Linked DNA regions of Mus musculus. The protein of the gene in region 1 binds, or shares a complex with, the protein of each later gene. Links are inferred from orthologs where the notes say so. Each region holds a gene or a part of one and is shown in the gene's direction. Other genes may lie near its edges. The genes, in order: Smad7 and Smurf2.

Region 1 (4,533 bases):
TGATGGTCCTATACTGTTGTCTTCCTTCCACAACGTAGGGCTCCCTAGGGAGAGAATCATGTGATAGAACTTGTTGGTTTTCTTTTCTAGTTGTAAGAGTTTAGTGTGGAAGGGGAATGGTCAGAGAACCTAATTCAAAATGATGATTCCTAGTTAGTGTTGCTAGTCACTGAATCCAGGGTCTCTAAGGAATTATACCCCCAGCCCTCTAAATGTGTGTCAATTATCTATCAGGTTAGAAACAAACGTTACTGGAAAGAAAGGGTATTTATAATTTATCTTTTCCAGAACATATCATTCCAGTGGCAAGAAATAAATATTATATTCCACATCTGGTAAAAAAAAATTCTTTTACCCCCCCCCCCCCCCGTAAGTTTCATGACTGTCCTAATGTTACAATTTCAAGCAACTTTTCAAAAACCTACTAAATATGTCAGGTTGGATCACCATGCCAACTAGTTGTCTCAGTAACATTTAACACTCTAGTACTATCCTCAGACCTGCTCCACGGACTTTTGCTTGACAAATACCTTTTCTACTTCCTAGCAATCACTTGCATCTGGGGATAGCTTTCTCTGGAACCTATGGTGAAGGAATAAACTCTCTGACCCTAAGCAGGCCCCGCATGCGATTGGATGCTCTAAGCAGGTCTGCTGGCTGGGCAAGGTTAGCGCGCCGGGAGGCCGAGTGGCGGGTGCCGGAGGTCTTCCAGGCCGGGAGGAAACCTGCCGGCGGCGCGCGGGCGAGCTGCACCCCTCCTCCCTCCAGGATGCTGCCCCTCGCTGCTCGTCAGCCTGCCAAATGCATTCCAGAGCTGTGCACAAGACACACTTCTCCAGGCAGTCCTAGAAACCCGAGCCCGGAGCGGGAGAGGGCGGGAGGGAGCGCGGCGGCCGCTGAGGTCACATTCGCGCCGCCTCTCCGCCCTCGGCCGCCCGGCTGTTCCCTCTAGCGCACACTTCCCAGGGCCTCCGTCCTGGCCGGTGTAAATGTCTTTGAAACAGACAGCGATCTCCTCCCCTTTCCAAGGGATCCGCCGCCAGGGCCTTAAAACAAAACGAATGAATGAAGCGCCCGGGCGAGCTCTGCTGGTCTAAATCGGGCCACTAACCGGCTCATTCCGCTCCAAACTCGCCCGCTCCATGCCCCCAGCTCTTCCGATTTCCCCCTGCTCCCGCTGGGTCTCCGCCGACCCCCGGGGCCGTCTCGGCCTCCCACCTCCCTCCACCGTGGGTACCCCTCTCTAGACCTGGGAGAGGGTGGCAGTAACTGGGAGGGGGGTTGAAATAGCTTTTAGAAACCCGATCTGTTGTTTGCGAAACACAATCGCTTTTTTTTTTTTTTAAAGCGACAGGGTGTCTAGACGGCCACGTGACGAGGCCGGAGCCGGGCGCGCCACTGCGCAGTGGAACCAGCCGAGCAGAGGGACGGGTGGGGGGGCGGGAAGGAGGCGGCGGCGGCTGGGGGCGGGGGAGGGAGGGGTAGAGGGGGGAGGGAAGGGGGCGGAGGCGGGAGGCCTTGCGGGAGGCGGCGAGCCCTGGGCACATTCGCTCGCTGATCGGCGCACAGAGGATCTTGTCCCCGAGCTGCGCCAGCAGAGCCAGCCGGGCGCCTCGCTCGGTCCGCTCGCCGCGCCGGAGAGAGCTGCCTGAGACGCAGCCAGCCAGCCAGCCGGCGCCACGCCGCCGAGCGCTCGGCCCCGGAGTCCCTGAGTGCGGCGCGGCGAGCCCCCAGCGGCGGCAGAAGGACTCGAGCGCCAGGAGAGGGCGGACGGGGGACGAGGAGGCTCCGGGGCGCGACGAAGAGAGTCTCCGAGGAAGAGGCTGCGAGAGGACACCCGGGCCTCCTGCCGCCACTGTCGGGTCGGGGCCAGCAGCTCATGAGAGCAGCCCCGGCGGCCACCCGCGGCCAGGAGAAGGAGCACCGGAGGCCCCCACACTAGCCTGTGCCCTCGGGGGCGAGAGCTTGCGACCCGCCGGAGCCCGCCGCCGCGCCGCCCTCCCCCGCGCTGACAGCCCCCCGGGGCGCAGCCGCCGCCGCAGCATCTTCTGTCCCTGCTTCCCCAGCGCGGAGGAAGTCCCCGCCGAGGACCTGGGCCCCCGGGAACGCAGGAGGAAAGACCAGAGACTCTAAAACACCCAGATACGCAAGATTGAAGCAGCCTAGCCAGACCTTTCTGTGGATTAAAAGAAATACGATTTTTTTTTTTTTTTTGGCAGAAGAAAAGGAAAGGAAGACCGGCTGGGTTCAGCAAGGAAAAAAAGGGGGATGTAACTCGTGGATACGGTTTTTTTCCCCCACCCTTCCAACATCTTGTTTTACTTTGTAAACATTTTCTCTTTTAAACCCGGGCTCCATCCGGTGCCCTCCAGACCTCCGAGGTGCGAGGAGGTGGTGTGTTTTTTCATTGGGGGCTTTGCATATTTTGGTTTTGGGGGTTTTGAGAGACCCTCCAGACATCTCACGAGGGGTGAAGTCTACTCGGTCCCCTCCCTCAAGTCTTCGCGTGCACAGAATTCGAGGAGATCCGGTTACTAAGGATATAGAAGAAAAAAAATAAATCGTGCCTGCCTTTTTTTTTTAATTGCCTGCTTCTCCCCACCCCCAAATTAAGTTGCTTAGCAAGGGGGAAAGAGGCTTTTTCCTCCCTTTAGTAGCTCAGCCTAACGTCTTTCGTTTTTTTTTTTTTTTTTTTGCCCCCGAGGATCTTCCATGTAGGAAGCCGAGGCTGGCGAGCCCGACACTCGGGAGCCACTGTAGGGGGGCCTTTTTTGGGGGAGGCGTCTACCGGGGTTGCCTCGGCCGCCCCCAGGGAAGCGGCGGCCGCGTTCCTCCAGGGCACGCCGGGGCCCGAAAGCCGCGCAGGGCGCGGGCCGCGCCGGGTGGGGCAGCCGAAGCGCAGCCCCCCGATCCCCGGCAGGCGCCCCTGGGCCCCCGCGCGCGCCCCGGCCTCTGGGAGACTGGCGCATGCCACGGAGCGCCCCTCGGGCCGCCGCCGCTTCTGCCCGGGCCCCTGCTGTTGCTGCTGTCGCCTGCGCCTGCTGCCCCAACTCGGCGCCCGACTTCTTCATGGTGTGCGGAGGTCATGTTCGCTCCTTAGCCGGCAAACGACTTTTCTCCTCGCCTCCTCGCCCCGCATGTTCAGGACCAAACGATCTGCGCTCGTCCGGCGTCTCTGGAGGAGCCGTGCGCCCGGCGGCGAGGACGAGGAGGAGGGCGTGGGGGGTGGCGGCGGAGGAGGCGAGCTGCGGGGAGAAGGGGCGACGGACGGCCGGGCTTATGGGGCTGGTGGCGGCGGTGCGGGCAGGGCTGGCTGCTGCCTGGGCAAGGCAGTCCGAGGTGCCAAAGGTCACCACCATCCCCATCCCCCAACCTCGGGTGCCGGGGCGGCCGGGGGCGCCGAGGCGGATCTGAAGGCGCTCACGCACTCGGTGCTCAAGAAACTCAAGGAGCGGCAGCTGGAGCTGCTGCTTCAGGCCGTGGAGTCCCGCGGCGGTACGCGCACCGCGTGCCTCCTGCTGCCCGGCCGCCTGGACTGCAGGCTGGGCCCGGGGGCGCCCGCCAGCGCGCAGCCCGCGCAGCCGCCCTCGTCCTACTCGCTCCCCCTCCTGCTGTGCAAAGTGTTCAGGTGGCCGGATCTCAGGCATTCCTCGGAAGTCAAGAGGCTGTGTTGCTGTGAATCTTACGGGAAGATCAACCCCGAGCTGGTGTGCTGCAACCCCCATCACCTTAGTCGACTCTGTGAACTAGGTAAGAAGTTGTTCTGAGTCCACCTTTCGTTCCCTCTGGCGTGGAAATGCTCGAGGATGTGTGTATAACCTCCTGGAGGAGACAAGGAATCTAAGTCAGAGAAGGGACCAGGGGAAGCTTGGGGTTCCCTCTAAGATTTTTCTCTATTGCACCCCACCCCCCCACCCCCCGCCTCCAGAGGAGGGGACCCAGGGTTACTACTGCTTATCCTTCTACTGAATAGACATGCTGCAGAAAATGAGACAGTCTAATTTCCGGGTCTGCAAGGGGGTACAGAGTAAAGTGGGGAATCCGGCTTCCCCCGCACCCGGAAAGGCGATGAGGTGTGTGGCCGAGTTGGATTCGACCCAAGCCCGCCAAGGAAGGCTGGGAGAAACTAGCTTTAAAGGCTGGAAAGTCTCTCCTTTAGTAAATAAGGACAGTCACGTGGGACACGAGTGGCCCAGATACTGTCCTGGCCTCACAGCTTTGGAGTTTGGGGGCAGTGGTAGGATGGAGACTGAACTGGGTATCCAGTCTCAGCTGTGCGAGCTTCGGGGTGAGAAGGAACAGCTTGGAGAAGTTGGGTGGCCTCGACTTTTAATCTTTATTTCGCACAGAAAAGCATACAGTTAGTGGTCCTTAGGGTGTCCGACACTCCCACCCCCTGAGTTTCGGTGATGTTCTTCCCTGCTCCATAATTGGCCTGGGCTTCATGGCTGGGACCCTGAGCAGGTTCCTCCCCGTGCTATCCTGATAGCTAGGTTGCCCATGCCTTCTGCTTGCTCCTTGTCTTTGTGCTCA
Region 2 (4,381 bases), on another chromosome or scaffold:
CAGCCTGCTCAGTTTATTGTCTCAGCCTAGCGTTTGAAACAGTGATGTAGCAATTGTTCTATCGCCACAGTAACTTTTGTGGGAATTATTTCCTGAGCCTTCAGATCTTACATTGCACAAAGAAGTGTTTAAGGGCCCTGTTCATTGCTTTGTGAATAATAAGCACTTAGTATTTCTTGATTGAATTTTTAGAGCTGTCCCTTGTATTTTAAGTCTTACTGCTAGAACTTATGATTTTGGGATCACTTTAATCCGTAGGAGTGTTTTTAGACCGATGAAACGCTCTTGGATTTCACCTGGAGAATGAAGTGTCTTAACTGGTAGATTTTAAGTCACCATTTGCAATGTTTTAGGATTAAAATGTATTAGGCTTCAATGAACAGTTTAAACGGCATTAATGTTATAACAGCTTTAAAGCAAAGCTAACATGGATATAAATCCACACTCTTTTTTTTTTTTTTTTTTGGTTTTTTGAGACAGGGTTTCTCCGTGTAGCGCTGGCTGTCCTGGAACTCACTTTGTAGACCAGGCTGGCCTCGAACTCAGAAATCCACCTGCCTCTGCCTCCCAAGGCATGCGCCACCACTGCCCGGCACAAATCCACACTCTTATCCTTAGTTTGCATTATTACTCTTGCGTGCACATAAAACTTGTATTCTCCATTTAAACCCTGCATTACATATAAAGTCTGACATGTTACATGGCTACCACAATTGCCATTTAGATGGCTGCATAAAAATGTGTTGCAGTTGATGTAATACAATTCACTATTAGGCTGCACTCTCACCCCAACCTTGCAAAACAAAATCCCAAAACAACCTGCATTATTTATTTGTCCAGAATAAGTTCTTATTAGTTGTAAGTCACCGCGTCAGAGTTACAGTCCTATTCATTTTCTTTTTTCCTCCTGGGACAGCAAAATACAGTACTGCGTGAGCTTTCCACACTATATCCACCTATCTTGTTCACAGTCTTTGGCCGCATTTGTATTATCTCCCTATGCTTGTCCTGGGCAGGGTTGGGGGAAGAATCGAGCAGGTAGGTAACCGGATATGGAGCACCAGGTGAGCCTGTGGAGGTGGCAATTACAATACTCAGAGCTAAGCACTCCTGGGAATTTGCTGGAGCGTTCGATGTGGGAATAGCATCTTGGCGAATTAATTCTTCGGACTTGGGTCTAACTTTACTCTCGCCAGCCTCTCAGAGCGCGCAGTGGGAGTATTACTCGGGCATTCTGCCCTGTAGGGACACAGGCGATCTTTCAGTGAGCTAGCTGGTCAGTAGGCCCCTCTGGTGCCATCGAGCCGGCGCCGCCGGGCGGTGTAGTTCGGGGCCCAGTCTGGGCCGTGGCGCACGCGCTGCCCGCAGCTCGCGCGGAGCCAGGCCTTCCTCTGGCGCCCCAGGCGCAGGAGACCTCGCCCACAAGCCCGCCCCCTCGCCGGCCCCGCCCACCGCAACCCCGCCCCGCCCGCCGGCCCCGCCCCCGTCTCCTCCCCGCCCCCAGGAGCCGACGAGTGGCGGCGGCGGCGGCGGCGGCAGCGGCTGCGGCCCCAGGACCGGGTTCTCTCAGACAAGAGGGCGGGCGGAGGAGGAAGCGGCCGAGCACCCGCCCGCCTCAGCAGACTTCGCACCGTCCGCTCCCAGGCCTCGCGGCACCGAGAAGGGGAGACCGAGGCGGACCGCGAGGACAAGAGGCGGCGGGGGCGCGGGGCGGAGGCGGCGCGGCCGGCCGCGGCTGCCGCTTTGTTGTGTGGCCCGGGCCGAGGAAGCAGAAGTGGGAGGAGGGGGGAGCTCTGCGTCCCGCTCCCTCCGCGGCTCATGGCGACGGCGCTCGGCACATCCGGGACCCTCCGGCCCTGGCGGCCGCGGCGCGGGCTGTTCGGACCCCGGCCCCGGCCGCTGTGGTGACTCCTCTGCGCCTCGCCGTCGGCCCAGCCCAGCCCAGTCCGCCCGCCCGCCCGCCGGCCCGCCGGCCGCGAGCGCCGCCGCCGCCGCCGCCGCCACCTCCCCCGCCGCTGGGGACATGTCTAACCCCGGAGGCCGGAGGAACGGGCCCGTCAAGCTGCGCCTGACAGGTGAGCTGGGCGGGCGGCTGTGGCGCCTGTGGGCAAGCAGAGGGCCGGGGTCGCGGTCGGTGGTGGCGTTGGACGGGAATCCGGGCGTGGGAAGGCCTAGTTTAGGGAGTCATTGGAGAACCACTTAGCTGGGGTTGGGAAATTCTTCAGAACGCCCAGTGTGTGGCCCGTGGGTCTCCCGTGGAGGGCGGATTTGAGGTCCTGAAGTCTCGTTTCCTGGGGTCACAGGAGCAGCCCCTGGGCTCCTGCCCAGGTGGGGTCGGGAAAGGGATTACTGAATCCAGTTGCTGACTGCGCGCGGTAAACACTCCTTAAACATGGAGTGAGTGCTTAACGGGAGAGTGCTTGTGTTCCCGGGTTGTTAACTTGGACACCTACCTATGCCCGGCAGTGAAACCTTTACTCTCCAGTGCTGCCAACCTCTGTGGCCAGTGCCACACACCTTAAACGCACGTCTCTGGGAGGGAGGGACCGAGACTGTGGTTGGCTTTTCCGGCGTGTCTGCCTGATCCCACGACTCCCGGCTCATTGTACACTCTGTGTTTTGGAAGTTGTTTGATTGTAGGGTAGCATGTTTGGGGTTGTTCCTTGTAGGCCGCAGAACTAGTTGCTCATGTCTTAACTCCAGACCTGGTTTAGAATCCCTTGCTTTGCAATGTGTTTCTCAGTCTGGACGCATACGAACTTTTAAGCTAACTTTCACTAGTCCTCTCCACACTTCTCACCCTCTTTCTAAATGGAAAGGAATGCTCAGAGGGATTTGGGAAAGACTGTTTAATGTTCCCAGCTGCAGGGAGTTGTTAACATATTACAGGTATAATTTGCTTACGATGCCACTTCTGATATTCTTCCGTGGTCAACGTCCCCCTCCTTTTAAGGAAAAATTGCGTTTGGTTTAAAGCGTGTAATTGAAACTATTGTCCCTCTGCTAGCTAGTCACGTCATTCACAGCAAGTAAATTGTCCACATTTATATTCAGATGTGTGGTGAAGAAGACGGCATTTTGTAGTTGGTTCATATGCATTTGCGCCAGCGAAGGATAAGCTGTAATTATGTTTGCCCACACTAAACTTTGAGATTTCTGTGGGTGAACTTTGTAGTTGAATGTTTGTGTGTTAACCGGCAGTCCATCGGCTGTACTTTCTAGGTAGCTTGAAGTGAATTTGGTATTTGAGAACTTAGTTGGAATGTATGTTGGCTACAGAGTAAAATACTTTACTTTTGAGGCTGAAGAGATGGCACAGTAGTTAAATGTATCCTGTTCTCTAAGAGGACCTGAGTTCTAGTCGCAACACCCCAACCCAGGTCCTCGGCTCACTATCACCTGTAACTCTAGCTCCAGGGGATCTGATGCATCTGGCCTCCCACAAGCACCTGCACTTAGGTACACATACCACCTCTATCTCCAGTAATTAAAAAATATACATAGTATTGACCTGGAAGCCTTTTTTTCCCTAGGGAAAATTACAAGGTATTATTAACACTGGGTGGGGGGGGTGCTTTGATTTTCATCTTTATTGTGTTCATTTGGGCGGGGGGAAGTCAGCGGAATACAATTATAAAGGATCCTTGGTGCTCTAGTTTATATATTAATGTTCTTATTAGGCACGCCTTTGTCAATAATTACAGAAAGAAATTGTGAGTGTAGGTGTGCAAAAGCCATCAGAAATGGATGTTATTTATTTCCTTCTGGGATATATATATATATATATACACACACACACACACACACACACATATATACATATACATATATATACACATACACACATATATGTGTATGGGAGAGAAAAGAGGGGTTTGGGTTTTCTTTGGATAAAATGAGTTCTGAGGTGGGCTGGAGAGATGGCTTAGTAAAGAGCACCCTCTGTTCTTCCAAAGGACCCAGATTCAATTCCCAGCACCCAAATTCCAGTTCACAACTGTCTGTAACTCCAGTCCCAAGGGATCTGACACACTCACACCAATGCACATAAAATAAAAATAAATTATTAAAAAATGAGTTCTGAGGTTTTAGTATTTGTCAGACTTTGCGAAAACTATTCACAGGCAAATTTCCCAATAGTTTTAAGAAACAGAGTAGTTCAAATGAACTAAGATGTACTGAAAATGAACTGAGAGTACATTTATGTACTGTGTGTGTGTGTGTGTGTGTGTGTGTGTGTGTGTGATGGCCATGGAACGTGTGTGCTGGATAGGACAAGGTGAGATCTCCTTTTCTATCTTACGAGTCTTCCCAGTCCAACTCAGGTCATCAGGCTGGAGAGGAAATACCCTCCCCCCTCAGCCAGCTCAGTGTTCTGAGG

The links.
Region 2: the proteins of Smad7 (region 1) and Smurf2 are in contact, whole or in part, in an NMR structure (PDB 2LTZ), measured with the Homo sapiens proteins. The link is inferred for Mus musculus from reciprocal best matches to the Homo sapiens genes SMAD7 and SMURF2. Residues at the interface, in NP_005895.1 of Homo sapiens: Glu203, Leu204, Glu205, Ser206, Pro207, Pro208, Pro209, Tyr211, Ser212, Arg213, Tyr214, Pro215, Met216, Asp217; in NP_073576.1 of Homo sapiens: Glu304, Arg306, Asn307, Thr308, Ala309, Thr310, Arg312, Tyr314, Val316, Asp317, His318, Arg321, Thr322, Thr323, Gln324, Phe325, Thr326.

Annotation. Positions count from the first base shown.
Region 1 is NC_000084.6:75,365,819-75,370,351, forward strand, and holds the start of Smad7 (mothers against decapentaplegic homolog 7), read left to right. Parts: upstream 1-1,546; 5' UTR 1,547-3,137; coding exon 3,138-3,750; intron 3,751-4,533. UniProt on the Homo sapiens protein: Antagonist of signaling by TGF-beta (transforming growth factor) type 1 receptor superfamily members; has been shown to inhibit TGF-beta (Transforming growth factor) and activin signaling by associating with their receptors thus preventing SMAD2 access.
Region 2 is NC_000077.6:106,917,875-106,922,255, reverse strand, and holds the start of Smurf2 (E3 ubiquitin-protein ligase SMURF2), read left to right. Parts: upstream 1-1,540; 5' UTR 1,541-2,023; coding exon 2,024-2,075; intron 2,076-4,381. UniProt on the Homo sapiens protein: E3 ubiquitin-protein ligase which accepts ubiquitin from an E2 ubiquitin-conjugating enzyme in the form of a thioester and then directly transfers the ubiquitin to targeted substrates.